7 linked regions of the Macaca fascicularis genome follow. The protein of the gene in region 1 interacts with the protein of each later gene in a pairwise test. Links are inferred from orthologs where the notes say so. Each region holds a gene or a part of one and is shown in the gene's direction. Other genes may lie near its edges.

Region 1 (3,500 bases):
TAGTAGCTGGGATTACAGGCACCCACCACCATGCCTGGCTAATTTTTTTGGATTTTTTAGTAAAAAAGGGATTTCACCGTGTTGGCCAGGCTGGTCTCACACTCCTGACCTCACGTGATCTGCCTGCCTTGGCCTCCCAAAGTGTTGGGATTACAGGCGTGAGCCACCGTGCCCAGCCAAGTTTATTGTCTGTATTTTGACAGCTGTTACTTTAGTTTAAGGGTTTGCACAGTAATTATCTCACAGTCAAGACTAGTGGGTAGTGATTCTGGGGTAGTTTTTACACCTCACCTCCACAAGTTGGTTGTCTGTCTGTGTTCTTCCTTTTTTTTCCATTCTTTCCATTCCTGTGCATGCCTCCTCTTCCTTTCAGATGAATGTAAAAGAGTTTAAGGAGCACATTGCTGCCTCTGTCAGCATCCCGTCTGAAAAACAACGGCTCATTTACCAGGGACGAGTTCTGCAAGATGATAAGAAGCTCCAGGAATACAGTAAGGGGACTGAGGAGGCAGTTCAGAGGTTGGGGCTGCTGTCTGGAGGGATGAACTGAGGCCATGGGTTTACCTGTTCATACTATGTTTCGGTGTGTGTCTATTTTTCTGCAGATGTTGGGGGAAAGGTTATCCACCTGGTGGAACGGGCTCCTCCTCAGACTCAGCTCCCTTCTGGGGCATCTTCTGGGACGGGGTCTGCCTCAGCCACTCATGGTGGGGGACCCTCGCCTGGTACTCGGGGGCCTGGGGCCTCTGTTCATGACCGGAATGCCAACAGCTATGTCATGGTTGGAACCTTCAATCTTCCTGTAAGCTTATGTTCCACAGGGGAGGGGTTTTGTGGATAGCTTTGGTTGTGGTAGCAACAGGGAATAAGATAGATGCTTCCATCTTTAGATTGGGTTCAGGGGGCGCTGTGGTGTGCTATTGGTCTCAGTCTTTAAGGAGAAAAGAGGGCGGGGCTCCAGGGAATGAATTGGAGGTGTGGAGGTCTTAGTGTTGGCTTCTCCCAGAACAACTTCCCTTACCCTTTCCCCAGAGTGACGGCTCTGCTGTGGATGTTCACATCAACATGGAACAGGCCCCGATTCAGGTATTGAGGGGCCTCCGAGGGTCAGGGAAGGGGATCTGGGAGAAGGAGGCTGGGAGGTGGGTTGGACCTGACTGAGAGATGGCTGGGACCTGATTTAGTAGGTGGTAGAACTCATGGCTTCATCTGTAACCTACCCTGATCAACCTTCTCTCGTTGTAGAGTGAGCCCCGGGTACGGCTGGTGATGGCTCAACACATGATCAGGGATATACAGACCTTACTATCCCGGATGGAGGTAAGTGGGCAAGGTTGGCTAGAGTCTCTCCCCACCCTCCCTCCTCCGTTTTCTCTCATCCTGGGGGTTGGGGCTTGACTGGCCACATCCACAGGCTTTGGCCTTCATAATGCAGTCTTCTCTGCAGTATTCATTATTCTGGGCAGAAGAAGTATCTTTGTGAGACGTGCTCATTTCTGCCAATCCTCTGCCATACCTGCCTGGTATCCGGGGAGTTTGTTTCCGACTTGTCTCATGGCATCTCTTTTCAGTTAAAGGATTCCACATTCTTTTTTTTTTTTTTTTTTTTTTTTTTTTTTTTTTTTGAGACGGAGTCTGGCTCTGTTGCCCAGGCTGGAGTGCAGTGGCCGGATCTCAGCTCACTGCAAGCCCCGCCTCCCGGGTTCACGCCATTCTCCTGCCTCAGCCTCCCGAGTAGCTGGGAGTACAGGCGCCCGCCACCTCGCCCGGCTAATTTTTTTTGTATTTTAGTAGAGACGGGGTTTCACCGTGTTAGCCAGGATGGCCTCGATCTCCTGAACTCGTGATTCGCCCGTCTCGGCCTCCCAAAGTGCTGGGATTACAGGCTTGAGCCACCGCGCCCGGCCAGGATTCCACATTCTTAACTTGTGGAGGCTGGGAAACCAACTTATGGAGGACAGGAAACCACAGTCTCTACTCTTTGTTAGAAAGTTATTTACAAATATTACAGATGCTGCGGCCAGGCATGGTGGCTCCTCCCTGTAATCCCAGCACTTTGGGTGGCCATGGCAGGGGGATAACCTGTGGTCAGGAGTTCGAGACCAGCCTGGCCAACATGGTGAAACCCTGTCTCTACTAAAAGTACAGAAATTAGCTGAGCGTGGTGGCACACACCTGTAGTCCTGGCTACTTGGAAGGCTGAGGCAAGAGAATCGCTTGAACCTGGGAGGCGGAGGTTGCAGTGAGCTGAGATTGCGCTACTACACTCCAGCCTGGGCAACAGAGTGAGAGACTGTCTCAAAAAAAAAAAATTACAGATGCTTATTACGCATCTAATTTGTGTCAGTCTTATGCTAGTTGCTAGAGAGTTAGAGATACAATTGCAGAGCCATGCCTTCAGGGAGTCTAGTTAGGATACTTTCTTTGTCCAGTCTCCTGCAGAGTAATCTTCTGCAGCAGTCTTATCCTGCTTTTGGTATTCTGACTCTCCCCTACCTTCAGTGTCGAGGAGGACCCCAACCGCAGCATAGTCAGCCACCCCCGCAGCCACCAGCTGTGACCCAGGAGCCAGTAGCCTTGAGCTCTCAAACATCAGAACCAGTTGAAAGTGAAGCACCTCCTCGGGAGCCCATGGAGGCAGAAGAAGTGGAGGAGCGTGCCCCAGCCCAGAACCCGGAGCTCACTCCTGGTCCAGCCCCAGCGGGCCCAACACCTGCCCCGGAAACAAACGCACCCAAGTGAGAGATGGAGGGAATCTTTAGGGGGTGGGAAATCCTAAGTGAAGTATGGGGAGAAGAAAATGAACCATGGCAAGGGAGGGAAAGGATTACTTGGAGGTCTTAGTTGAAGGTTACCATTGAGGGGCGAGGAGGGGCTCTCTTTGTATAGGTAAATGACGCTAGGACAGGCAGCTGAGAAGAACTGCTCTCCCTACGGCAAGAAAATCCAAATAGTATCTCCTGAGCCTGATGAGAATTCTCTTCTCTGAGTTCACGTAGGCTTGCTCTTTTTCTTAGAATTAGTCTCTCACCATTGTAGGTGCAGGATTGTGGTGGAGAGGGTGGGAAAAGTTCATTTTCTTCTCCCCATCCTCTCATGGGTGGGAGTAAAGAATAGAAGCTTTGGCCGGGCACAGTGGCTCATGCCTGTAATCCCAGCACTTTGGGAGACCGAGGCGGGTAGATCACCTGAGGTCAGGAGTTCAAGACCAGCCTGGCCAACATGGTGAAACCCCATCTCTACTAAAAAATACAAAAATTAGCTGGGTGTGGTGGTAGGCGACTTAATCCTAGCTACTTGGGAGGCAGAGGCAGGAGAATCGTTTGAACCCAGGAGGCGGAGGTTGAAAATAGAAGCTCTGCTGGTCCAGAGAAGGATTGGGCCAGGGCTCTGGGAGACCAGGGAGAAGGAGGGCACATGTGGTCCCTGTTGACTGTGAGGTTGGGAATCTGAGGAAAGTTTTGGCTCACTGCCCCTTGGGTTTGTCCACAGCCATCCTT
Region 2 (4,205 bases), on another chromosome or scaffold:
CACATTTTCTAACAATTGCCTTGGATTGTTTTTTGAGATTTTTGTCTTTTGCAAATGTATGTCTAAACAAATACAGTTTAACAAAATACATTGAAAGATAATTTGAAATATCTAAATAATAACTCCATAGTTTAGTTTGGAAGAAAATTTGACTATTAGTAATCTTTATATATAAATACAGTTGTTCTTAGTGACTCCTACCCATTTGTGGGTCATGGTGGCCCCCTTAATGATCTGCAAAACACTCTAGAAATGTAAGTCTCTACTTAAGGCTGACAACACACTATTCTGAAGACTTTCATCTTTACCACTAATTAATGGTTACGTTCTGGTAACTTACTGATGGATACGTTTTTAAGGGTTACTAACATGTGTTATTTATAAGGTAAAATTATTGTTACTAAAATTTATGAGGCCTTGGAGTCAGCATTCTACCAAATATGTGGTAATATTGCAAAACTAATTCTGCTTGAGGTATAATCAAATGGTTGAATTTCCTGCAATTTTAGTGGAGAGCACTTTAATAGGGTATTATTAATCTTGTGAATTGTTTATGGTTTTCAATTGCTGCTACTCTTATGTTAGTATTTTTGTCAATTCTTTGATATTATATTTCATTTATTTATATTTTTTCTTTTACAATTTCAACTTTTATTACAGATTAAAAGGTACATGTGCAGGTTTGCTACATGGGTATATGGCCTGACACTAAGGTATAAATGATCTCATCACCCAGGTAGTGAGCATTGTACTTTATTGTATCATTTATATTTGATTGCCATTTTGTCTCAAACTTTGCAGGTTTTCTGCATTGCATTTTTCTTCTTTTGGAAAAGCAGGAAGAGGGCTTTGGGTTATTTTGTCCTAAGAAATAAAGAGTGAGGAAAATTGTAAAAAGTTAGCCCGATTACTCAGTTATTTTAGAATACATTAATTTTCTAATATTATAGGTCTAAAATCACACGGGAGTAAGTCTGTCTTTATTCCATTTCTCCTCGTGATGTATAAATTACTGTAGAGTAGACTGCACAGAAGGTTTACCTGATGTCAGAGTTACAGTTATCCCACTTAAAAAGCATGAGAAAAGATAGAAAAAACTATTGTATAACTATTTGGAGATTCCATTGCCATTGATAACATTCCGACACTGCAGTGTATTTTTTGGTTTTTGTTACAAAGCTACAAGTAAATTTTCTACTGGTTCTTGAAGATATATAAGAAATACCATTAGCACTTGAACCATTTTTTCTAAACAGATGATACTTAGAAATCTAATTGTATAGAGTTCACTCGTGCTAGTAAGTTCTATTAAGATAGAAAGCTACAATAGGTAGAAAGTTTTCTGTTGAGCTCTCTATGGAAAACTCTATTTTGAAAATGAATACATTTTGATTTAAACGATACAGAGGAATCAAAATGGACACAATCTTGTTGTGGAGTCTCCTATTGCTGTTTTTTGGAAGTCAAGCCTCAAGACGCTCAGCTAAAAAAAATACCGAATTTGCAGTGGATCTTTATCAAGAGCTTTCCTTATCTCATAAGAACAACATTATATTTTCACCCCTTGGAATAACTTTGGTTCTTGAGATGGTACAACTGGGAGCCAAAGGAAAAGCAGAGCAGCAGATAAGACAAACTTTAAAACAACAGGAAACCTCAGCTGGTGAGACCCTTACATCTCCTTACTTATACTGGATAAGATAAGGACACATTCATTTTTTAATATTAGAAGTTCAGGATAAAAAAATTTTAATAAGTGAAAATGTAATGAAAAGTAGAAAATTGTAATAAAATGGAGAATTGTAAATATAATTTTCATTTGTTTAGAATTATTTCCTCTAAAAAGTTACAAAAATTATTGAGAAATTGACATCTGTGTAAATGTAAAATTAAGTATATATTTGTACATTTTCTTCTGGTTTGTTTTAGCCAGTTTTAATTACTTGAGATTATATTGGGCGTGCATATGTGTGTGTATGTACTTAGTCATAAAATATACATCTATATACATACATATTATTTCACTATCACTATGTTGTGATCATTTTCCCATGTAATGGAACTGATTCAAAATACAATTTTAATTACTGTATCTTATTAGAAATACCGTTACTTATTTAGCCTTTCTTCAGTAGGTTGTCTCCAACATTTCTTTTTAAAAAAATGCACCTTATCTGTAACAAGACCAAGAAAAAACATTAATTTCTTCATTTTAAGAGGTTGTTAGTAGTTTTAAAAGGAAAGTAGGAAAAAAAAAAAGGATTTAAATCATCAGAGGTCTTTGTGCTTGTGAATGCTGGTTGTTTTGTTGGAGTCTCCTCATGGTCTGTCTGGGATAGTGTCTATCCCTCTTACTGGGATATTGTGCTTTTGTGCTGGCATCCCATTTGAAAGAATTGTTGCTTGGCTGGCATGGTGGCTCACACCTGTAATCTCGACACTTTGGGAGGCTGATGCGGTGGATCACTTGAGGTCAGGAATTCGAGACCAGGTTGGCCAATGTGGTGAAACCTCATCTCTACTAGAAATGCAAAAATTTGCAGGGCATGGTGGCATGTGCCTATAGTCTCAGCTACTCAAGAGACTGAGGCTGAAGAAGTGCTTCAAACCAGGAGGTAGAAGTTGCAGTGAGCTGAGATCGTGCCACTGCACTCCAGCCAGGCAACACAACAGACTCCATCTCAAAAAAAAAAAAAAAAAAAAAAAAAAAAAGTTGTTGCTCATCTCCTTAGCTATCTCATCCTCTCAGTTTCTGTAGTTGTTTTAATTTTCAGCTTTTGGATTACTCTGAGATACTGTGTTTTAAATATAGATTTTTGATTTGGGAATTTAGTTGCTACAACTATAATTTCAGTATATTTTTCTTGTCACAGGGTAACTGTATTTATAAATTTGCTTTCCTGAAAATACTATTTACAAGACTGTATTTGCTTCATTTTAAATAAAGACAATTTTATACAGAAAAGAAGTTGGTGATAGTGAAGTGAATTGTAAGAATTTTTCTTTGCAAATAGTGCATACTGAAGTCAATGTATTCCAGATTTAACTTGATTAATTTCAGCAAATCCCACTACACCACTCCCAGAAATGTTTAAATCACATGCTATAGCTTTGAAAAAGTAATACAATATTTGTGAAGATACATAAATTAGAGTCTGTGGAAACTAAATGACTTTAAATGGATACATCATATAGAGAAACACAGAAGTTTTAACAAGTGTGAATTGTGAACATGATAATAATAATAATGCACTGTCAAAAATACAGATAGCATATCAGCCACTGTTTCATGCGCTTAATGTATATTCTCTCATTTAATATTTATAGTTAGTTTGTTAGGCAAACAACCTTCTAATAAACCTCAGAAAATTGAGACAAAGAAAGGTTAAATAATTTGCTCAGCGCTAATTCCTAAAATAATTCAGTGACAATTAAGAATATAAGAGCAATATATTCTCATTAATACATTAATAAGAATATGAATTATTATATATTATGTAAGACTCTCAGTGTCCTCAGGTCTTCTTCTTTACTTCATTGTCAAAACATCTGCTCTGAATTTACCACCTCCGTTTTGCTGAACATCTGTTAATACTCCCTTTTACTTTACCTCTGTTAGTGCTGATGACGAATGAAAGGCAAAATTGAAGGTGCTTCTTTTTTCCACAGGGTTTGAAAAGAGAACGGGACATGAATTCCTGTCCCAGTTCTGCAACTAAATGACCTTGTGATTTGGCACAAGTAACGTCACTTGTGAAGCTTCTTAATCTCTCTGGGCCTCAGATTCCTCACTGTAAAAAGAAAAGTTGAGGTTAGGTAATTTATTTGGACCTTCTGGCTGAAATAATCTATAATTCTATGACTACCTTTGTTTTCATCTTTGGATCTCCCATATGCACACAAAATTGGCTTTTAGACTTTTACTAGCAGAAGAGAACATGCACTGAATTTTAGAACATTTTCTGGAGGTCTGGTACAATCAAATCAAGAGCCACATTCACCCATGACCTGTGGGTTATCCATGGCTCTATTTTAGAAAATGAAATAAACTTGTTCTCATTACTTATTAGGAGATATATATACACACACACACACACATACATATACATATATATATACATATATACACATATATATGTATACATATGTGTATATATACATTCTTTTTTGATCTGTGCTAAAAATGTCATTAATCTAGAAACCAA
Region 3 (4,275 bases), on another chromosome or scaffold:
CAACATGGCACAAGTATACATATGTAACAAACCTGCACGTTATGCACATGTACCCTACAACTTAAAGTACAATAATAATAAATAAATTAAAAAAAAAGGAATTAGCCCTTTAAAGCACGTATAAATATTATTAGTTTGTAAATTTTTGCAACTGACTTTTAAAATCCTTTTTAAGTTTATATATGCTTTTGAAATGAGCTCATGTTTATATAAAGATATTAACTTATTTAATTTAACTCCTGTTAGTATTTCAAAATATATTATTTAGTCATTTATCCCGATTGATATAGCCATCTCTATTTCTGTGAACATTTTGGTTAGTTTTTCAACTGAATTTTAAATTCCAGATTTGCTGTTGCTCCCTGAATCTGAATGGATTTTTAATGGGAATTTCAGTAAGTGTTTAATTTCCATCACTATCTGTAACTTCACAACAACAGATGATTGACTTCAAACCAACAACTTCATATTCCACTACTTTGAGCTTACTTAGGCATCACCTCCCTGTAGTTCCCACCTGCTTGGACTTTGAGAACATCTGTAGCCTGCTAGCTACTTATACTCAAACCTTGCTGGAAATGCTGGTTTAAATTTACATAACTACTAAACCTTGTGATATGGTGTGGCTCTGTGTCCCCACCCAAATCTCATCTCAAATTGTAATCCTCATAATCCCCATGCGTGGATGGAGGAACCTAGTGGGAGGCAATTGGATCACAGGAGTAGTTTCCCCCATGCTGTTCTCACAATAGTGAGTCCATTCTCACAAGATCTGATGGTTTTATAAAGGGTTCTTCCCTCTTCACTCTCTCTTGCTCACCTGCCACCATGTAAGACATGCTTTACTTCCCCTTCGTCTCTATGACTGTAAGTTTCCTGAGGTCTCCTCAGCCTCAGGAAAGTCTGTGAGTCAATTAAACAGTGAGTCAATTAAACCTCTTTCCTTTTTAAGTTACCCAGTCTCTGGCAGTATAGCAGTGTGAAAATGGACTAATACACTTTGCCTTCTGAAGTAGGTTTGAGAGCTTCCTGAGCCTGAAAGGGAATGGAGAAATGACTTAAAGCCACCAGCTAATTGGGCTTAATCATTTGCACTCAATTGACTCTTCCCCTACCCCTACCCACATCTAAACCAAAGAAAGGATCATCCCATATTTACATAGCACAAAGAAATCTACTCTTCTGCTCTTTCTAGGATGGCTAAAGGCCATGGGAACTGGACACGTGGATGCTGTGGGGGAAGGACAAAGCCCAACATCAACTTGGACAGTTTACTAACCTGTTTATGGTAAGTTGATATCATTTGTGACCACTCCTAATGTGTGCCAGTAATAAGCTATTCCTGATGCCAGAATCTCTTACTGTTAGTGCCCTTTGTAGGCCTTCTGACCCTTACTCCTTGCTCCACCCACTGTTTATATCATGTGGTTTTCTCTCAGACCCTGATATAAAGCTCCTACTCTGTCTGACCTGACAAGCCACCTCAAGTGGACAAGGCACTTACCAACAGGTAAGGGGGCATTACAGGAGAAGAGCATGTCTAACATGGGATTTTCTCTTCATTTTGAGGTAGATACAGGGTGATTTTCTGAATAAAAGATCCCGGTAGTAATGAAGCTTAAGCAAAACCAAAGCTGATTTTGGGTAATTTGGCCTCTGTTATCCCCAAACCAAAAGAGAAATATCTGCGAGTGTAGCTATCTCAGTGGACCTTCCTGGTCACAGGAATTCCAAGAGGAGAGGATGTTAGAAAGATAATAGGGGCTCTGCTCTCTTCTTCAAACCCTCTTCCCTGTGTTCTCCTACAGAGATTGCTGATTTGCTCCTTAAGCAAGAGATTCACTGCTGCTCAGCATGGCTCAGACCAACTCATGCTTCATGCTGATCTCCTGCCTGATGTTCCTGTCTCTGAGCCAAGGTGAGATTTTTTTCCCCAGACGTCCCACAACCCCAGCTCTGAAGTCTTCCCTCCATCCTCATGCATAGGGTTCACTTGAAAAAAAGCAGAGTGAACATCAGAGGTTGATCATTATGGCTGATCTCATCCCATTCAAAAACATCCTCATTTCATTCATGAGTTTGAGACAGAATTTAATAAGACCACTTATAGGTGACCATTGTGGTTGAGTTTATCTAATTGAATCTATATGTGATGGCAGTTGGATGTTTTTATGTAGTCATTAATAGGATGGAGAGCTAAGGCAAACATGTACAGGGAAATCAAGAGAAACTTGAGAAAGGTGGAAGACTGGGTCTTTAAAGGCAGAAGCCTGAGCCTCAGAAATAAAAGGGAAAACGAGGACACATTTCTTTAGCCTATTCATTACAAGCTCTTGTATTGAGCAGAGGAAACTAGAAAAAAAAAAAGAGATAGGATGCAGGGAGCAGAAGTAAGGAGTCACTCCAGTACACACTGTATCAGTATGTTCTTATAACGGAAACTGAAAAGCCCCTAATTCACCTTCCAGCCTTTTCCTTGCCCTGAGAGTCTTTCTTAATTACCTCTTTTTTTCCCTCAGGCCAGGAGACCCAGACAGAGCTGCCTAATGCCCGAATCAGCTGCCCAGAAGGCACCAATGCCTATCGCTCCTACTGCTACTACCTTAATGAAGACCCTGAGACCTGGGTTGATGCAGATGTGAGTGAGGACAGCAGCAGGGGAAGGGAGGCTCATGAAGGTAGTGGCAGCTGCTAATTTGCAGTGTGTTCTGTGGCTGCAATGAGATAAGATTGATCCCTTCCCTATTCCACCACTGGTCCAAAACTTCCCAATCTACTTTATCCCATTATTTAACACATTCCTAGCACAGAGATACTGGTGGTCAGTGACAGCGTCACCAGGGACATTTCTGTGCTGTCCTTTTTCTGTTACATCCTCTGGAAGATCTCAGTAGATCCTTCACACCTTCCTCCTCCACTGAGTGCTCCATTTTCTTCACCTACAGCTCTACTGCCAGAACATGAATTCAGGCAACCTGGTATCTGTGCTCACCGAGGCAGAGGGTGCCTTCGTGGCCTCACTGATTAAGGAGAGTAACACTGATGACAGCAATGTCTGGATTGGCCTCCATGACCCCAAAAAGGTCAGTCTGCAGCCTCCTCTATCTCCTTATAAACATTTTTGAGAGGTAAGAGGGATGTTTAAGGTCTGGCACCTCGAGCGCCAACTTTTATCTTTTTGTTTTTCTAAATAAAAGAAACCTCTTTATAGATCCTATAATGTATGAGTTGTGAAGTTCAGTGTAGGTAGTTAGAGACATGAGCTGAAGGCTGAATTTTCTGGGCTCCTGGGAATTCATGCACACACTCATTGTGTCAACTTTTGGAAATGCATCTTTATGTACAACTTCTTCCCTATTTTGCTATTGTCTGTCTTGGAAGAGGTCCCTCTGTAGACTGTATAGGAAAAGAGTAGTGGAGGAGAAATCTACTGCTGGCATTTGTTATACATTTTATACAAATGTATAAAACTGTACAGTAGTTGTTGATATATTATTTAGTTTAACACTGTAAGTGTTTAGTTTAACACTATAAGTGTTAAACTAAACAATATATCAACAACTACTCTACAGCCAATGTTATGTTGTATATGAGAGTTCTGAGCTTCAGGAAAAAAGATCAGAACCACTCTCTGTAATGGGCTTTTATGGGTCTCTGTATCAAACTCTGAACACTTACTATTTGCTGGAAGAGGAGGAGGAATTTGGACATTCCAGAGAAGGAGCAAAAGCAGAGGAAATAATACGACATTCATGGTGACAACAATGATTATTCTTTCTGCTATATCTTGGCCTGTTTCTGAGTGTGCACACAGGCCTGGTTATTCTATTGATTTTTGAGTGACCGTGGCCCCTGTTCTGACCCTTCTCCACCTAGAACCGCCGCTGGCACTGGAGCAGTGGGTCCCTGGTCTCCTACAAATCCTGGGACATTGGAGCCCCAAGCAGTGCTAATGCTGGCTACTGTGCAAGCCTGACTTCATGCTCAGGTGAGAGGCAGACAATCTATCCATCTGTTGTTATTTCCCTCCCGTTTTTCTCTGGGGATGAACATGGGAACTGGGATAGAGGAAAGGTGAGCTCTTTATCTGGAAAATAAAGGAATATTTCCTCTTGTTTTTTGTTCTGAGTCCTAGATCGAGGAGGGGCTACCCTCCTTCTGATCCTCTCTGTCTGACTCTTCTCATTATTCTATAGGATTCAAGAAATGGAAGGATGAATCTTGTGAGAAGAAGTTCTCCTTTGTTTGCAAGTTCAAAAACTAGAGGCAGCTGAA
Region 4 (4,031 bases), about 5.1 Mb from region 1:
GAAAGGAGGCAAAGGTGAAGTCCAAGGGAGGGCAGGGGTGTGCGGTAGATGGGAGCGGATAGACTTGTCATTCATCTCTGTGTCTGTCAGAAGCACCAGTAGACACTTCCAGAGTTGTCCTTTATTTATGTCATCTCCATAAACCATCTGCAAATGAGGGTTATTTGGCATTTTTGTCATTCTGGAGCCACAGAAATAAAGGATGACAAGCAGAGAGTCCTGGGCAGGAGGCAAAAGGCCTGTGTTCCAACTATAGTCATTTCTTTGCTGCATGATCTGAGTTAGGTCACTAGACTTCTCTGAGCCCCAGTTTCCCCAGAAGCGTACAGGGGCTGTGTGGGGAGTATTCAGGAGACAGACAACTCACTCGTCAAATCCTCCCCTTCCTGGCCAACAAAGCTGCTGCAACCACAGGGGTTTCGTCTGTTGAGGTGAGTGTAGGGTGTACAGAGATTGGTTCAATGTCCAATTCTTCGGTTTCCCTGGAGATCAGGTTGCCCTTTTCTGGTAGTGTCTCCAATTGCCTCCTTCCTGGAAGCATGTGACAATCAACAACTTTGTATACTTAAGTTCAGTGGACCTCAATTTCCTCATCTGTGAAATAAACGAGACTGGAAAAGCATTCCGGCCTCAAGATGCTTTGTTGGGGTGTCTAGGTGCTCCAGATGCTTCTGGGAGAGGTGACCTAGTGAGGGATCAGTGGGAATAGAGGTGATATTATAGAACTTTTCTGGAAATTGCAGAGAGGTGCATCGTTTTTATTATTTATGAATTTTTATTTATTAATGTCATCCTCCTGATCTTTTCAGCTGCATTGGGTAAATCCTTGCCTGCCAGGTCGGACTCCCCGACCCCCAGAGTGGATCAACGGTGGGCCAGAAAGGGGGCTCATTCTAACAGTGCTGTGTCCTCCTGGGGAGTGCCAACTCATTCTCCAAGTAAAAAAAGCCAGATTTGTGGCTCACTTCGTGGGGAAATATGTCCAGCGCACCAACGCAGGCGAGGGACTGGGGGAGGAGGGAAGTGCCCTCCTGCAGCACGCGAGGTTCCGGACCGGCTGGCCTGCTGGAACTCGGCCAGGCTCAGCTGGCTCGGCGCTGGGCAGCCAGGAGCCTGGGCCCCGGGGAGGGCGGTCCCGGGCGGCGCGGTGGGCCGAGCGCGGGTCCCGCCTCCTTGAGGCGGGCCCGGGCGGGGCGGTGGTATATCAGGGCCGCGCTGAGCTGCGCCAGCTGAGGTGTGAGCAGCTGCCGAAGTCAGTTCCTTGTGGGGCCAGAGCTGGGCGCGGATTCGCCGAGGCACCGAGGCACTCAGAGGAGGTGAGAGAGCGGCGGCAGACAACAGGGGACCCCGGGCCGGCGGCCCAGAGCCGAGCCGAGCGTGCCCGCGTGTGTCCGTGCGTGTCCGCGAGGATGCGTGTTCGCGGGTGTGCGCTGCGTTCACAGGTGTTTCTGTGGCAGGTGAATGACGGGCGTGGATCGGTGCGCGCTCGGCTTGCGCACACGGTATCTGTAAGTGCGCGGGTGACGGGGGTCGGGATGTGCCGGAGACCCGGGGCAGAGAGCGGGATTACCAGTACAGGGATCCCCGGTCACGATCCCCGCCCCTGGAAACCCAGCTGGGGCGAGGGAGGGCGTGGACCGGACTGCTCTGAGAGCTCGCCTTTGGCTGCGGTTGGCTGCAGGCCCCAGGCGCAGTTTGCTCGCGGCCTGGGGATGAAGTCCGTGTCCCTGGAGGGGCCCAGGAGGGGCGAGGAAAGCGGAGTGGAGTAAATTCGTCTAGGATCGGTCCTAGGCGGCTCTCGGATCCAACTGGCGCCGCCCTGGCCCAGGTCCCAGGTTCAGGTCCTCTACGCCACTGTGTCCACCACCTGGCTGGGCACTGAGGTCAGCGCGGGCTGTTTCCCGGCCCTTGGGAGTGTGCCAGGACACGTCCCCTAAGGACAAACGAGGAGGTGACTCACTGTGACAAGGAGACCCCAGGGAACGGACTGTATGAGGTCAGAACCCCGCCCGGGAAGGGGTACAATGGGACTCCCGAAGCCCTCTCCCCTGCCCCGCCGCGGTCTCCGTCCTCCCATCGGCACAGTGACCTATTTGGCTGGAACAGCTTGTTCCCAGGGAAGCAGGGCACCGGAGGTCCAGGACACCGCGTCGGGTCCCCGCTTCGCTAGGGGTCGGGGAGTCACGACTCTGCGCTGGGCGGGCTCCAACCAGCCTGTCAGTCGGGGAAGGGCAAGGGTCTCCTCTAACTCTTTCCCACCGCGGCCGGGAGAATCACGGCCCAGCCTGCCCTCGGGTCGGGGCGCTGGACTCCGGGGCGAGAGCAGAGCCCACGCCTGGGTGGGAGGTGGTAAGGGGTCAGGTCTTTGCGGGGTGGGGATTCTGGGGGGCACGACGCTGCTCAGGGCCTCCATCAGCTGCCTCGGTGGCGCCCCGACCTAGCCCAGATTCCCTCTCGGAAAGCGACAGGGCTGAGCGGAGCAGGGGGGCGAGTCGCCCCCTGGGGCGCCGCCACTTGGCGCGGATCACAGCGCATCCTCTCGGTCCAGAACCCCTGGGGGACACTTGCGCCCTCTTCGTGCGGAAAAGCATCTTGGAGCTGGGTTTGGAACTTGGGGCGCCCAGGCAGCTTCCCCTCTCCTTCCCTCCCTCCACGTCGCGTTTCTGGGAGGACTTGCGAGCGGTTTTGTTTTCGTTGCTCCCGTCTATTTTTATTTTCCAGGGATCTGACTCATCCCATGCTTTGGGCGTGGAGATAAGGTGGAGGGGTCGGCTCCCGGCGCGTGTGTGTGTGTGCGCGCGCGCGCGTGTGTGCGTGTGTGTGTGTGTGTGTGTCAGAGACGGCACAAGAGCGCGCGGTTTCCCAACAGCGGCGGGAGTTTCGGAAGCCTGGCCGGCTCAGCGTGACGTGTTCGCGGCGCCCCCCCGCTGTCCCCTCCCATGCTCCCCCTCCCCACCCCAGGGTGACGCGCAGCCGGAGTGGAAGCAGAGTTTTGGCGGGCGAGCAGCGCCTTGCAGGAAACTGACTCATCACTACTCCCTCCCGCAGTCCGAGGCTCTGCCCACGCACCTCCCACCCCGCGCGTGATTTCCTGGAGGCCGGCGCCCCCTCCCGGCCCTGGCGGTAATAGCACACCGGCTTTCCCGCGGAGTGGGGCTGGCCGGCGCGAACCGCCGCGGCTACTCCGAGAATAACCCCTATGCCATTACCACCCCTTCAAAGGAGCACTCCTTAGATTCAACAGTATTTACTGAGCTCTTACTGGAAATTAAAATATGGCTGAAGTCTAAGGCAGCAAAGCCAATAAAGGAGGCTATTTTCAGTTGTTTGTAAAACACGGGTTTACGTTTCTGTTTTCTTTGGGCTGAAAGTTATTATGACAATGAGCATGAGAGCAGATTTTGATGGGCGAGGAGAGGCCTATAAGAGCCATAAGAGAAGGATGGGTGGTAGAAGAGGAGAGGGTACCTGCCTAGATCCTAGTCCTGTCTTGAGCTCCCGGGAGCCAGGGAATATCCAGCTCCTTGATGAAGCCCTAGGCGGGCTCCTCCTCCTTGTGCCTATGATGTATTGAGACCAAGAATGTCCATTTCAAACACACCAGTGTGTCCCCCTTTGGCTGGCACCCCAAGAGTGCCCATCTGAGGAACGGTGCCAAACACTTGCTTGAAACTTCAATTTGGATTAAGTTGGTCTCAAGAGGCAGGGATTTTTCAAAATCTATATTTTGAAAAAGCTCCCTAGGTGCTTCTTTCTTTCTTTCTTTCTTTATTTCTTTCTTTCTTTCTTTCTTTCTTTCTTTCTTTCTTTCTTTCTTTCTTTCTTTCTTTCTTTTCTTTCTTTCTTTCTTTCTTTCTTTCTTTCTTTCTTTCTTTCTTTCTTTCTTTCTTTCTTTCTTTCTTTCTTTCTTTTTCTTTCCTGCCTGCTTGCTTGCTTGCTTGCTTTCTTTCTTTCTCTCTCTCTCTTTTTCTTTCTTTCTCTTTCTTTCTTTCTTTCTTTCTTTCTTTCTTTCTTCCTTCCTTTCTTCCTTT
Region 5 (4,291 bases), on another chromosome or scaffold:
TGCACTCCAGCCTGGGCGACAGAGCCAGACTCCATCTCTAAAAACCAAACAACAACAAAACAAACAAACAAACAAAAAAACCCTTCAATGCACAGGCTCCAACTCTTAATTCCTCAACAGTCTGGCTCCAATGCCTCATTTTGCAGGAAGTCCAACTCCAATCAAATCCTGTTCATCCCTCAAAACCCTGGTTCCAATGTCCTTTCCCCTCGGAAGCCCTTTCTCTCTCCCGAGGCAGAGCTGGGGTCACCCCTGAGTCCCATACTCCGGTCCAATCTCATGGGGCCGGGGGTCTCTGCGTGCCTTCAGCATAGGGTCTGGTATGCAGTAGGTGCTCAATGAGCGTTGAGTGAATAAAGAAATACATGCATGAGGCCGGGTGCGGTGGCTCACGCCTGTAATCTCAGCACTTTGGGAGGCCGAGGTGGGCGGATCATGATTCAGGAGTTCGAGACCAGCCTGGCTAAATATAGTGAAACCCCGTTTCTACTAAAAATACAAAAATTAGCCAGTGTGATGGCACACACCTTTAGTCCCAGCTACTCGGGAGGCTGAGGCGGGAGAATCGCTTGAACCCAGGAGGTGGAGGTTGCAGTGAGCCGAAGCTGTGCCATTGCACTGCAGCCTGGGTGACAGAGTCAGACTCTGTCTAAAAAAAAAAAAAAACAAATACATGCCATGATTGGGCCAGAACGAACCTCAGACATGATCCTGGCCTGCGCTGGGTGTTGATACCGTGTCTACTGATTAAATTTGGAAGTGGGGATTAGGTTTCCTGCCCTCTCCGCACCCGGGAGGCTCCTGGGCCGTTAGCCTCCGGAGCATCTTGGAAACAGGGCCACAAGCCACGGACCTCAGCCTCTATCTGACCCCACGGGTCCCAGCCAGGCCCAGGCAGCGCCCTGAGCCCCCGTCTGCCTGTATTCCGCAGCGCTGAGGGAATGCCTGCTGTGTGTCAGGCGCTGCTGTGGGTCCAACAATCCCTTCGCTGCGCAGCTGACCTGACGGTGCCACGGGGCAGGAGGGCAGCAGAGGAGCCCTTGTAAGCTGACATTTGAGCAAAGACCTGGAAGAAAGCCACGTGGGGGTTGGGGGAGCGCTGCACCGGGAGGGGGCGGGGAGAGGGCGCCTGGCGAGCCCCAGGAACAGTGGGGACAGTGGGCTGAAGCACCATGAAGGGAGAAGGCGATGAGGTAGGGAAGCACTGAGGGACACGAGGACCCTGGCAGCTTCGGGAGACTAGGAGGGCCTCGGCTCCATCTCGCGCAGGCCCCGCTCCTCGTCTCTTCCGCCGCCTGGACTTGGCCCCGCCCCCGTCGGAAGCCCCACCCCCGCTGGAACCCCGCCCCCGCCCGGAGCCCCGCCCAACGGCCGGGCCTATTTTGTCTCTCAGCGGCCACCGTCGCCCTGTCCGCGGCCGGCCGAGTGCGCAGCCTACGCCGCTCCCGCGTCCGCTCTCCGCCCCGCGTGCCGTGCGTGCCGTGCGTGAGCGTGCGCGGGCGCGTCGGCCGGCGAGGGAGCAGCAAACGGCCGGCGGCGGGCGCCGCGCGGGGGGCGGGCGGCGCGGAGTAGGCGGCGGCGGCCATGGCCGAGGCGTCGCCGCAGCCCGGACGGTACTTCTGCCACTGCTGCTCCGTGGAGATCGTCCCGCGCCTGCCGGTGAGGCCCGGGCCAGGGCGACGGGCGACAGGGTCTGTGCCACAGGCCTGAGGCAAGGCCGAGGCCGCGGCCGGGGTGGGGGTCGCTTGCGCGAGCTGGCCAAGATAGGGAAACTGAGGCTCGGGGCAGCGCCGGCCCAGGCTGGATCCGCGGGGAACCCGGGCGGTGCGGGCGCGAACCCCGTCCTGCACATGCGGGAAACTGAGGCCTGGGCGGGAGGCGGGGCCTGGCCGGAGCGGCGCAGCGGGATCGCGGCTGGGTGACCCCACATCCGCGGCGTTCCCGACCCGAGAGGCCGCGAGGATCCCAGGTGGGACCTCCGAGTCCGGTGAGCCTGGTTTTGCAAACGGAGAAACTGAGGCCTGGCGAGCAGAGAGAGGGTATTGCTCGGTGGCGCGGCGCAGGGCAGGGGCCAGGCCTGGCGGGGCCTGGAGGAGGGGATGGCGGGGCTCGGACCCCGAGAATAACGCCAGGGGACCCCCGCCGAGCGCGTGGTCTGGGGCGCCGGCGCCTCGCTGCAGGTTCGCCTTGTGGAGCCCTGGCCGCCGCCTTGGAGGCAGGCCCAGGCCCGGGAGGCTCCAGGCACCGTCCCGGGGTCCGAGCGCGGCCCCCCGGCGGGGCTTTGTGACCGGAGCCTGCGTTCTTCCCCTCCCGGGGCTTGGCCGGGCAGCCCACTCCTCCTCGAGGTGTTTACAGCCACCCCTCGCCCGGGAGGACCCTGGGCCTAGGCGTTCCGAGTGCTACTTCCTGCTCGTTCAGGGCAAGGTTCCCCACGCGGCCCTGATGTCACCTTGGGGGAGGTGGGAGCTGTGCTGGTCGGACGTGCTATTTCCAGGCCCCTTTTCCAGGGTTTCGGAGTCAGTCGGTGTGGAATGGGCTCAGCAGTCTGTATTTTTAATATTATTTTTAGGAACACGGTGGTGTTGCCCAGGCTGGTCTTGAACCCCTGGGCTCAAGCGATCCTCCTGCCTCAGCTTCCCAAAGCGCTGGGATTACAGGTGTGAGCCACCGCGGCCGGCGGTGGTCTGCATTTTTAACCCGTGTTCCCCTTCCCCAGGCTGACGTGGGAAGTGGTGATTTAGTCGAGCCACGCCTGCTTGATAGATGGGGAAACTGAGGCCTGTGGTGGCTCAGCAGGAAAGGGGCAGAGCCGGCTCAGTCCGGAGCCGCTTGACGAGCTTGAGGGGAGCAGCTGCAGGAGGTGGAGGGGTCTGGACTCCCCACCCCGTGCCCAGGGGAAGAGACTGCAGGCATTGAGGATTTACTGTGCTGTGTGCGTTGCCGCCTGGCTGTTGCTACGCTTTGACCCCTAAGGGGAGCCCAAGCCCCCAACAAGCAGTGCAGAGACCCAGGAAGGGGCTGGAGGGAGTCGGGAGAAGCCGCCTGGCTGGGGTCACAGAGGAGGAACGAGTGCTAGAGTGGGGTATGGCAGGACAGCGGTGCCAGGCCCAGAAATGGAGAGAGAGGTGTGGTTTCCTCTCTACTGAAGCCACCGGGTTTCCCCTCCCCCGCAGGAGGAACAAATAAAGTGAAATCTCGGATGTGGGGTGAAGGCTCTGGGGCTGAGACTGAGCCTTGCCTTGCTCCTCTGTCTCCCAGGGGTCTCGCTCCTGCTGCTTCCCGCTTCCTGTCCCCACTGGCCGTGACAGGAGGGGCTGGTTGCCTGACAGCCTGCCTGCCTGGGTGAGTTGCAGGGCAGCCCCTCGCAGCCGCTGTGAGCCGTGGGACAGGCCCTGGGAGGCCCCCAGGAAGGCCGAAGTGGTGGCTGTGGCGGGGGGGCCAACGCTGCCCTGACCTGGCTGCACACTTAGCTGCTCCTGGAGCCTGCACAGGACTGGTGGCCTTGGACAGGGAGGACCCTGACCTCCTCTGACTGTCACTGGGCCTGGCGAGGCTTTCCTGTGGTCACAGGATCTCAGTGGTGACAGGTAGTTGTGGTCTTTGCCCTCACAGACTTTACAGGCTGGCCAGGGAGCCAGCATGGAACAGTGATTGACAAATATTTAATCATGGACGTTGGTAAATTCCTTAAGAGCAAATAACTACAGGGAGGGCTGCCGCAGGACTGCCTGTCTCCACCCCACAGGTGATCCAGAGGGCACCTGCTTGTGCCTTTGGAGCAGGACGCAACAAGGCGCCCGTAGACAGCGTTGTAGTGTCAGAACTTCTTTGTGCGTGGCGAGACCCTGTCTCTACTGAAACAATTAGTGGGGTGTGTTGCTGCGCGCCTGGAGTCCCAGCTCCGGGCGGGGGCTGCGGTGGGAGGAGCGCTTGAGCCTGTCAGGTGGAGGTTGCGGTGAGCCGTGATGGTGCCACTGCACTCCAGCCTGGGTGACGAGCAAGACGCTGTCTCAAAAACGAGTTTTCTGTGCTGGGAAATGGGCACACCTGGTTCTGGGGCGGGAAGGAGGGAAGGCTGCTCCGAATCTGGTAATGGGGAAAGTCCCCAGCCACAGCCAGCGCCCTCGAAACGGCGTCTCTGCCGATGGGGAGCTTGCGCGGCAGCTGAGTCTGAGGCGGCGGTGCTGCTGCTGAGACACCTGGGCTGGCTGGCAGGACACTCCTGCCTGCCTCTGACGCAGAGGAGACTGGCTGCCCGGCTGCCGTGGGCTGTGTGCCTGCCCACAAGGGC
Region 6 (4,098 bases), on another chromosome or scaffold:
TGTAAGGTAAATAAATAGTGCAATCTGCATTTCACAACTGAGAAAGCAGATGAAGTAATCTCAAGACAATGTTAAATATTTTAAAAGGACCCAGAGCTCTGCTATCCCTGAATATTCAGACTTCCCCTGTAATTTTCTTTTATTCAAATACGTTTTAAATACCTAGTAAAGTGTTTTTTAATCCAGAAATTTTTAAAAATCTTTTTCTTTTTAAGTAGCCTAATTTACATACCCTGGGAGAAAAACTAGAAAAAAAGATGATTCCAAAATCGAATCTGTTCCTTTAGAAATGCGCAAAATTTCCTTATTGATGCATACCATTTAAAGATCTTACATCTACTCTCATTTTAATAACCTATTCTTTTTAAAGACATTACAATTCGTGACTGCCTGCCCCTCTTAAAAATTTCATACTAGTTAACACACATACACTCCTTAAGATACGCAGGGCATTTGTATCTAATATGTGCTAAGCATTGTTAGTTTAACATACTAATTCATTTAAACCTCTCAAAAATCCCATGACCTAGGTAATAGTATCTGCATTTTATGGATGAGGAAACAAGGATAGGTAGGCTGGGCGATTTGCCCAAGGTTGCACAGGTCAGCAGTGACACAGCGGAATTCAGAGCCACAGTCTGGCTCCTGAAGCGGCCCTCTCAGGCAGTCATCCTGCTCTCAGTCAGAAACTGCTTTACTTCTGCAACATCTAGAATAAGATACCATTCTTCTCTTTTATATAGAATTTTATATTTTAATGTCACTAGTGTCTTTTGTCTAAGTAACAAGCCACTGCATACTTGAAATCACAAAGCTAAGCTTGAGTAGTAAAGGACAGAGGCAGGTTTTCTGAACTCTTTGCAGGCTTGAACAATAGCCTTCTAGAAATATAGTTCTTCAATAAGTATAATCATATAGGCAAGAGTGGTTGCAGATATTACTTTTATGTTACTTAAACTGAAAGAAACAAAACTCCTTTCTATTTAATCTTACATTAATGTTTTTCCCTACTTTCTCCCTTTTCCATGGGATCCCTAAGTGCTCTTCCTGGATGCTGAATGCCCATCCTGTAAATGAAAAAGCTAGTTAATGATACTGTACATAAGTAATGTTTTAACTGTAGATGTGTGTGTGTGCGTTTTTGTTTTTTTGTTTTAACCACAAAACCAGAGGGGGAAGTGTGGGAGCAGGTGGGCTGGGCAGTGGCAGAAAACCTCATGACACATCTCTCCGCCTCCCTGTGTTGGTGGAGGATGTCTGCAGCAGCATTTAAATTCTGGGAGGGCTTGGCTGTCAGCAGCGGGAGGAGGAGGCAGAGAGCACAGCATCGTCTGAGACCGGACTCCTGTCAGGCCAGTTGCAGCCTTCTCAGCCAAACGCCGGCCAAGGTATGCCTTCAGTTTGCTACTGGGTTGTGCATTCAGCTCAATTTCATGGGGAAGTTCAAGTTCTAAGGAAAAATATTTTTAATTGTAATGCTGTTAAACAGATTTAAATTTTCTAGCCTTTTTAATAAGCAGATTAGATACATTGCAGGTCTCCTGGAACAAAGGTGTCTAGATATTTGGAATGCCAATCAAATATAAAACTTAAAAATACTTCCACTGGGTCCTCAAAAGAACGGAAACTACTGCGGCTAATCAGAAAATAGTAAAATTCAATTCCCCTTTGGAATAATTATACCTATATCATTTTCAACGGGTGACTGCAGGAATGTAAAAGAAAAGGGATCTTTTACACTAATTAAGCCAATTACAATGCTATTTTTTAAATGATGTATCTTATTTTCAAGGGGAAGAAAACTCTTTCTGAATATGTTACTGCTAAATTTAGCTGTTAAAATATTCACCAAGATACCTGCATGACACTATGTAGGCTTATTATTACAAATAGAAAAGTTGTTGGCTATTTTCAATGTTTTCCTTTGCATTTCAAATTTTTAGAACATCTTACTTAAATAACAAATTTCAGAGATAGTTTCATTTCACCTAAGTAGCATCTACTTAATAATTTAAGCTAAAAATCACATTTAAAGTACATATTGGAAAAACGAATAAAGCAAATTTTTTTCATTTTTTTATCTGTGCTTTTTCTTCTCTAAAAAGCATTCCCATACTAGCTTATTAATAGAATTAAGTTACTGTTGATCTGTTTGTAGGTTTAGTAGAGCTAGATATATAAGGTAGTAATCGTACAATTTCTGGAACTCTAAATTTAAAAGTTGAATAAATACAGACTTGTAAAATTTCCCTTTCCCTTACCTAATAAAGATGGAGAATAGGTGGCAATATAAATATTAACTTGAAAGACCATAATACTAAAAAGAAAAGGCTTCTCTAAGAAGTAGAAAAGATTTTACAGAAAATATATTTTATTTGTGATTATTTTGTAATGTGGTAGTACAAAAAGGTACCATTGTTTTAACCTATGAGGATGTCAGCTATTCCTTATGAAATGTTTTGCAGGAAAACTCACTACCATGAGAATTGCAGTGATTTCCTTTTGCCTCTTAGGCATCGCCTATGCCCTGCCAGTGAGTACAACTGAATCTTAAAGAAAATTCCTGAAAATAACTGAATTATGTGCTTCTATGTGCTAGGAGGACATTCTTGTAATCTTTCTTCATCTTTTCTGTTTCAAAGGTTAAACAGGCTGATTCTGGAAGTTCTGAGGAAAAGCAGGTAAGCATCTTTTAGGTTTATTACATAGTGAAATCATTTACTCAATTACAGCGAGAGGCGCAACAAACATATTTGCTGCAAGATTACTTATCTTCTCAGTCAAATCTATTGGTTTACAAGTATTTATTGACTGCCTGCTATGAATCTAGGCCAGTACCAAGCACAGTATAGTTTTTAATAAATATAAGTTTGTAAAACCAACCCAGATATTTTAAATATAATAATGTCTAGGCCAGTATAGCATGTAAGATAGAGTTATACGAAGCTGTGTGACTTTTTTTCCATTAGTCCACATATTGATCTAAAAGCAGAAAATTCCAGCTTTTGCTTTATTTAGTGGATTGCTAAGTTTAAAATTCACATCAGATATTAGTCAGAACTGTTTGTATGACCATAATATTCACAATATCGTCTGAGATATTAGCTGAGAAGCCCATTGTGAAAAGAAAGTCTATGTGTGCTGTTTGTATCTATTGTGATTGTCAGCTGATGTTAGATCACATTTTCCAACCAAACATAAGACCAACCAAACTCTTTATTATAATTATTTGACCAGCACTAAAGATGTACCTACCCCTCCACAACAGATGAAACCGTGCCAACCAAACAACAAATGGGCATTGTCCCCAGCAGCTTGGACAAAAAGGCACACAGAGTTCAATTCCAGTTGAACAGAATAAAGGCCAAAATAAGAGTTGCCTTGGGGGTCACTGCAATTAGATTTCTTAATGAAGACATTAAAAGAAGTATTCTGTGTGTGTTTGTGTGTGGGGGTGTGTGTGTCTGTTTTCCAACTGATTTGAAAACACAGATGTTGACTCCTAATAATAAAGCAGAAAAATTAACATCTCCAGAGAAGATAGAGGTCATACTATTTCAGGCAAGAATTAGTGCCTTTTTAATAAATGAAAACATGGCAAAGATGCATTTTAGAAGGCACGTGGAGTCATAACAATTTAAGAAATCTAGAAGGCTCAAGGCCCAGCCTTCTAGAATCCCAGAAACTTAAAGCTAGTAAAAAATTGGGGAAGTCTCTAAGGATATATGCCTGAAAATACACACTGGTTATCTGTGAGTGTTAGGATTACTGGGTGGTTTTTAGTCTATTCATTTTGCTTACCTTTATTTTTTTCACATTAGGTTTTAAAAATTATAAATTTAATTTATAAATCCATTCTCTCCAAGCCTGTATTACATGTGTCATGAGAATAGATAGATAGATATGAAAAAGTGAAGAGAAAAACTCTGAACGCATCTAGTCCCATTGTTTCTGCATCTTCTTTTTTTTTTCTGGGACAGAGTCTCGCTCTGTCACTCTGTCGCCCAGGCTGGAGTGCAGTGGCGCAATCTCAGCTCACTATAAACTCCACCTCCTGGGTTCACGCCATTCTCCTGCCTCAGCCTCCCGAGTAGCCGG
Region 7 (4,196 bases), on another chromosome or scaffold:
AATGTCTGGGATTTTTTTTCAAAATAATTTGAGTGCAGAGGAAACTGGAAGGGTTGTAGATGAAACCTGGAAGTGGATGTACCTCTCTACTTTTGGAGATGCTGATAATTTTCCATATAAAAGTTCTGAAAACAGAAAATAAAATGCTCACATTGTGAGGCTAAGGTCAAAAGAAATCAGAAATGCATGAGAATTTCCAAATCCAGGGTTATTTAAGAACAACATAGAGGAAAAAATTTCTGGTTTAAGTTGCAAAAATGTGTTTCTTTTATACAATATACTAACAAATCATAATTAACTGAAAAATGTAACACTTTATATGTAAAGGGGAGAAAACTACTCCACCAAAGATGCCGCATTCATTTAGAGATCAAAGAAATGTGTCTGCCAGGCAACCAAGGGCTCATGGAAAGCTGTGGTTTGTGTACAAATGCTATTTGTCTAATATTTTGTGCGTTAATGACTGTCCCATTAGCATCTTCACTACACTTATTTTCATAGAAAGGAGAAACATGATTTATAGAGCCCTTTAGTGACAAGGGTGAGGATCCTATACATTATGTTGCTGGTTTCCTAGTCTTCAGCAAGAAAGTGTAGGAGAGAAGCAAAAAAAGTCCTGTTCCAACCCCTGCTCCTGGATGTGACAAGGAAGAGGAGTTACCCAGCTTGAAACAAAAGAAATCCTAAGTCTGACACACAATGTCATGTTTAAATTCCCCTTTCTCCAAAATGTAAAATAAATGTGCTTCCATCTTCTAAAATACTATGGGACTAAACAACCTTTTGTAATGCTAAGGAAATGCCAGTATTCTCATTGATTTAGGAGAGGGATGTTCTGGTCATAGAAAGATGCTGTGTCTCAGAAACACTTAAATACTCTTAAGCTAGAAATAGAGGGGAAAAGAATGCCTCCCTGCATCTCCCCTCAACTGAAGTCCTCCTTTCTTAGCCTGATTTCCGATGAAATGACTGAATGCCTACAGTTATTTGGCCATCCTCAAAAGTGCAACTTATCCTGACGTCTCAAGGGACGGAAAAGTTACCGAAGTCCAAGGAATGAGTCACTTTGCTCAAATTTGATGAGTAATCTCAGGTGTCATGAAACCCAGTTTCAAAGGAGAGGGGAGGGGGCGTCAGATCTGCAGACGGAAGCAGGCCGCTCCCGATTGGATGGCGAGACCTCGATTTTCCTAAAATTGCGTCATTTAGAACCCAATTGGGTCCAGATGTTATGGGCATCGACGAGTTACCGTCTCGGAAACTCTCAATCACGCAAGCGAAAGGAGAGGAGGCGGCTAATTAAATATTGAGCAGAAAGTCGCGTGGGGAGAATGTCACGTGGGTTTGGAGGCTCGAGGAGGCTGGGATAAATACCGCAAGGCACTCAGCAGGCGAAAGAGCGCGCTCGGACCTCCTCCTTCCCGCAGCCACCGAGAGTGCGGAGCGACCAGCGTGCACTCGGAGGAACCAGAGGAACCCAGCACCCCGCGGGACTGTCAGTCGCAGTAAGTACCCGCGCAGTGCCGGCCGCGGCTGCCCGGGTCACTCCACCCCGCATCTGTCCGAGGTGGCCGCGCTGGGTGCGCCGCTGCGGCGAGGGACAGTGGGGAGACTGGCTTCCCAAACGCCAACGCCCCTCTTTGTCTTCCACCTGCAGAGTTTCCTGGTTTGAAGGTGTGGGTTGGTGGGTTAGAGGGCTGAGGGAGTTGGGATTCAGGGAGAAGAGGGTTGGAGAATCTTTGGGACGCGATTCTCTCGCCTAACGGGTGCAGGTGAGACTTTAGTCCTTGTATTTTTTATCTTAGTTCATCCGTTGTGGGGCTGAAAATTCTGTTGCTCTAACTCTTGGATAACCACCCCTAATAGATATATTATTTCTCTCTTTGGTCTCTTCTCCCACTACCCCTTCCCAGAAATTCAACATGAAAATCCTCGTGGCCTTGGCAGTCTTTTTTCTCGTCACCACTCAGCTGTTTGCAGAAGAAATAGGAGCCAATGACGATCTGAATTACTGGTCCGACTGGTCCGACAGCGACCAGATCAAGGTGAGGCCCCTTCCCAGGACAGCCCGCACCCTTCTTCCTGGGCTCGGGAGCTGTCACCTTCCCACGCAGCAGCACCCTAGTTAACGTGGCAGGCACCGCGACCACGACGAGAGGCAGCGGATGCGTGCGGGAGGATGGAAAGGGGCGCTATTTCCCGGGTTCCTCACGGGATTTTGGCCCACGATTCAAGTTTCTTCCCGAGGGCTGCACCGTCCAGCCCAGGAACTCCCTGCAGCAGGGATGCCCTCCCGGATGAGCCCGAGATCCCCACAAGATCATAAATCTCGTAAGCTTTCATCCCTCAGGAATGGGGATTTCGGGGGCTCCGGTCCAGCTGCACTGCCCTAGCGTCTGGGCACGGGCAGAGGGCGCCTTGGTCGCGGGCAGCAGCGGGCACACGCGTGAGCTGCAGGGGGATTGGAGGGCCGGAGGCTGGAGGGAAGTTAATTTCCTGCCTTCACGTTTGTTTTGCGGACCTGAGGATGTAGCTTGAAGTTTCCCTTTAGAAACTCGTAGGCTACTGGCGCTGGGGAGCGCGCCTCGGGAAAAGGGTGAAAGTCGTCTATAAAACGTTGTCACCCTTTCCCACCGCAGCCCCAGCCCCAGATCACACACACCTGTGTGCATTTAGGGTGGTGAGGAGTCTACAAAGCCGACACCGAGACAAGACAAAGTCAGGTGGCGGCGCGGCAGATGAGGGAAGGTCCCCGGGCTGGGAGGAAAGAACGGAAAGCGCTCGAGGCTTGAAGACGCCGAGCCAGCTGCTAACTCGCCCTGGCAGGCTTGCGGGGGACGGGACGCGGGTTCGGCGAGGAGGGGCGCAGAGAGGGAGCGCCTCGGGAGGTACCCCGCTCAGCCCGAGCGTGGGGAAGGCTGCCTCCGCCCGCCTCGGGGCCGGAGTACAGCGGGAAGGGCTCGGGTTGCTGGGTGCCTCGCTCCGGTTGCCTTACACGCCCTTTGTCCGTGCTTTTGCCCCCCAGGAGGAACTGCCTGAGCCCTTTGAGCATCTTCTGCAGAGAATCGCCCGGAGACCCAAGCCTCAGCAGTTCTTTGGATTAATGGGCAAACGGGATGCTGGTGAGATGGGCGACCGTCCCTAGGTGTCTTGGGCAGCCCGCCCTGTCTGCTCTCTCCTTCTCGGAGTACCCCAGGGTCTCTCGCTCTGAATAAAGATTTCCACTCCAACAGGGGTGTAACCCAGGCGCGACATTGGTCCACACCGCACTAAGGCGCGCACGGGCCCGCAGGGGGAGGGAAAGATCTGGTTCGCATGCCTCACTGTGTTCGAGTGAAGCGCTCCCTTGACTAAAGATCCAAACTGACAAAGGGAAGACACGGGCCTCCAGGGGTAGTACTGCGGTTGATTCAAGTGCATGTGGAACAGGATTTTGTAGCATTCCCTGACATGAGAGTAGATTTGTCTTGGGATAGAAATATTGTTTCCTTGAATTTATCGCACCGTCAGTGGAACATGTAATGACAATTCGTCTCTTGTCAGATTCCTCAATTGAAAAACAAGTGGCCCTGTTAAAGGCTCTTTATGGTAAACATTCCTATAAATCTTTATTTTACTATTGTGTAAAGCACATGTAGGAAAGTGAAATAAAATCTTTTATGGGCTGAAATACAAGATCTAGATGATGCCTGTTTAATAAAGAGATGTATTTGCATACTCTCTCTCGATCTCTCTGTCACTCCCTTGCTGTCACTCTCTCGCTGTCACTCTCTCTCTGTCTCTCTCTGCCACTCTCTCTCTCTTTCTCTCTCTCTCTCAATGGGTGGCCAGTCTTGAAGGTGGGAAATACTACAGTCTTATAGTCAATAAGAGGTCTCAAAAGTCTCATAGTCCTAGGTTTGAATCCCATAGAAGGCACTTAATAAAAATTCCATTTGTTTGTTTAAATATTTAGTTTTTATTATTAATAAGTTGTTTAGCATTTATGGTTCTGCCTTATTCCTCAGGATAATATATAGATAGAAAATGTTACATATTTTGATAATCAAATTATTTTATAAAAGATATAATGTAGCATCTTTAAAAACAAATGTATATGTGTTTGCTAATTTTATCTTTCTTCTAGGACATGGCCAGATCTCTCACAAAAGTAAGTTCAAAATTGTTTTGACATTTATCAAATTTAAATGTAAAAT

The links.
Region 2: the proteins of BAG6 (region 1) and SERPINI2 interact in a two-hybrid assay, tested with the Homo sapiens proteins (2 studies listed by BioGRID and IntAct). The two-hybrid records come from large-scale screens. The link is inferred for Macaca fascicularis from reciprocal best matches to the Homo sapiens genes BAG6 and SERPINI2.
Region 3: the proteins of BAG6 (region 1) and lithostathine-1-beta interact in a two-hybrid assay, tested with the Homo sapiens proteins (2 studies listed by BioGRID and IntAct). The link is inferred for Macaca fascicularis from reciprocal best matches to the Homo sapiens genes BAG6 and REG1B.
Region 4: the proteins of BAG6 (region 1) and CDKN1A interact in a two-hybrid assay, tested with the Homo sapiens proteins (2 studies listed by BioGRID and IntAct). The link is inferred for Macaca fascicularis from reciprocal best matches to the Homo sapiens genes BAG6 and CDKN1A.
Region 5: the proteins of BAG6 (region 1) and RNF126 interact in binary tests that used the Homo sapiens proteins (3 or more experiments, as listed by UniProt). The link is inferred for Macaca fascicularis from reciprocal best matches to the Homo sapiens genes BAG6 and RNF126.
Region 6: the proteins of BAG6 (region 1) and SPP1 interact in binary tests that used the Homo sapiens proteins (3 or more experiments, as listed by UniProt). The link is inferred for Macaca fascicularis from reciprocal best matches to the Homo sapiens genes BAG6 and SPP1.
Region 7: the proteins of BAG6 (region 1) and TAC1 interact in a two-hybrid assay, tested with the Homo sapiens proteins (2 studies listed by BioGRID and IntAct). The link is inferred for Macaca fascicularis from reciprocal best matches to the Homo sapiens genes BAG6 and TAC1.

What each region holds. Positions count from the first base shown.
Region 1 is NC_088378.1:140,074,943-140,078,442, forward strand, and holds part of BAG6 (large proline-rich protein BAG6), read left to right. Parts: intron 1-373; coding exon 374-491; intron 492-605; coding exon 606-802; intron 803-1,032; coding exon 1,033-1,086; intron 1,087-1,245; coding exon 1,246-1,320; intron 1,321-2,502; coding exon 2,503-2,738; intron 2,739-3,492; coding exon 3,493-3,500. UniProt on the Homo sapiens protein: ATP-independent molecular chaperone preventing the aggregation of misfolded and hydrophobic patches-containing proteins.
Region 2 is NC_088376.1:78,850,736-78,854,940, reverse strand, and holds the start of SERPINI2 (serpin I2), read left to right. Parts: upstream 1-1,405; 5' UTR 1,406-1,416; coding exon 1,417-1,663; intron 1,664-4,205.
Region 3 is NC_088387.1:42,687,435-42,691,709, forward strand, and holds the start of lithostathine-1-beta, read left to right. Parts: upstream 1-1,475; 5' UTR 1,476-1,510; intron 1,511-1,808; 5' UTR 1,809-1,854; coding exon 1,855-1,918; intron 1,919-2,519; coding exon 2,520-2,638; intron 2,639-2,945; coding exon 2,946-3,083; intron 3,084-3,876; coding exon 3,877-3,988; intron 3,989-4,196; coding exon 4,197-4,264; 3' UTR 4,265-4,275. UniProt on the Homo sapiens protein: Might act as an inhibitor of spontaneous calcium carbonate precipitation. May be associated with neuronal sprouting in brain, and with brain and pancreas regeneration.
Region 4 is NC_088378.1:134,986,958-134,990,988, reverse strand, and holds the start of CDKN1A (cyclin-dependent kinase inhibitor 1), read left to right. Parts: upstream 1-1,231; 5' UTR 1,232-1,457; exon of another isoform or gene 1,458-1,508; intron 1,509-4,031. UniProt on the Homo sapiens protein: Plays an important role in controlling cell cycle progression and DNA damage-induced G2 arrest. Involved in p53/TP53 mediated inhibition of cellular proliferation in response to DNA damage.
Region 5 is NC_088393.1:1,227,364-1,231,654, reverse strand, and holds the start of RNF126 (E3 ubiquitin-protein ligase RNF126), read left to right. Parts: upstream 1-1,491; 5' UTR 1,492-1,584; coding exon 1,585-1,659; intron 1,660-2,452; exon of another isoform or gene 2,453-3,342; intron 3,343-4,291. UniProt on the Homo sapiens protein: E3 ubiquitin-protein ligase that mediates ubiquitination oF target proteins. Depending on the associated E2 ligase, mediates 'Lys-27'-, 'Lys-29'-, 'Lys-48'- and/or 'Lys-63'-linked polyubiquitination of substrates.
Region 6 is NC_088379.1:93,530,490-93,534,587, forward strand, and holds the start of SPP1 (osteopontin), read left to right. Parts: upstream 1-1,298; 5' UTR 1,299-1,388; intron 1,389-2,465; 5' UTR 2,466-2,479; coding exon 2,480-2,533; intron 2,534-2,642; coding exon 2,643-2,681; intron 2,682-4,098. UniProt on the Homo sapiens protein: Major non-collagenous bone protein that binds tightly to hydroxyapatite. Appears to form an integral part of the mineralized matrix. Probably important to cell-matrix interaction.
Region 7 is NC_088377.1:123,598,303-123,602,498, reverse strand, and holds the start of TAC1 (protachykinin-1), read left to right. Parts: upstream 1-1,396; 5' UTR 1,397-1,505; intron 1,506-1,913; 5' UTR 1,914-1,922; coding exon 1,923-2,045; intron 2,046-3,025; coding exon 3,026-3,122; intron 3,123-3,543; coding exon 3,544-3,588; intron 3,589-4,126; coding exon 4,127-4,150; intron 4,151-4,196. UniProt on the Homo sapiens protein: Tachykinins are active peptides which excite neurons, evoke behavioral responses, are potent vasodilators and secretagogues, and contract (directly or indirectly) many smooth muscles.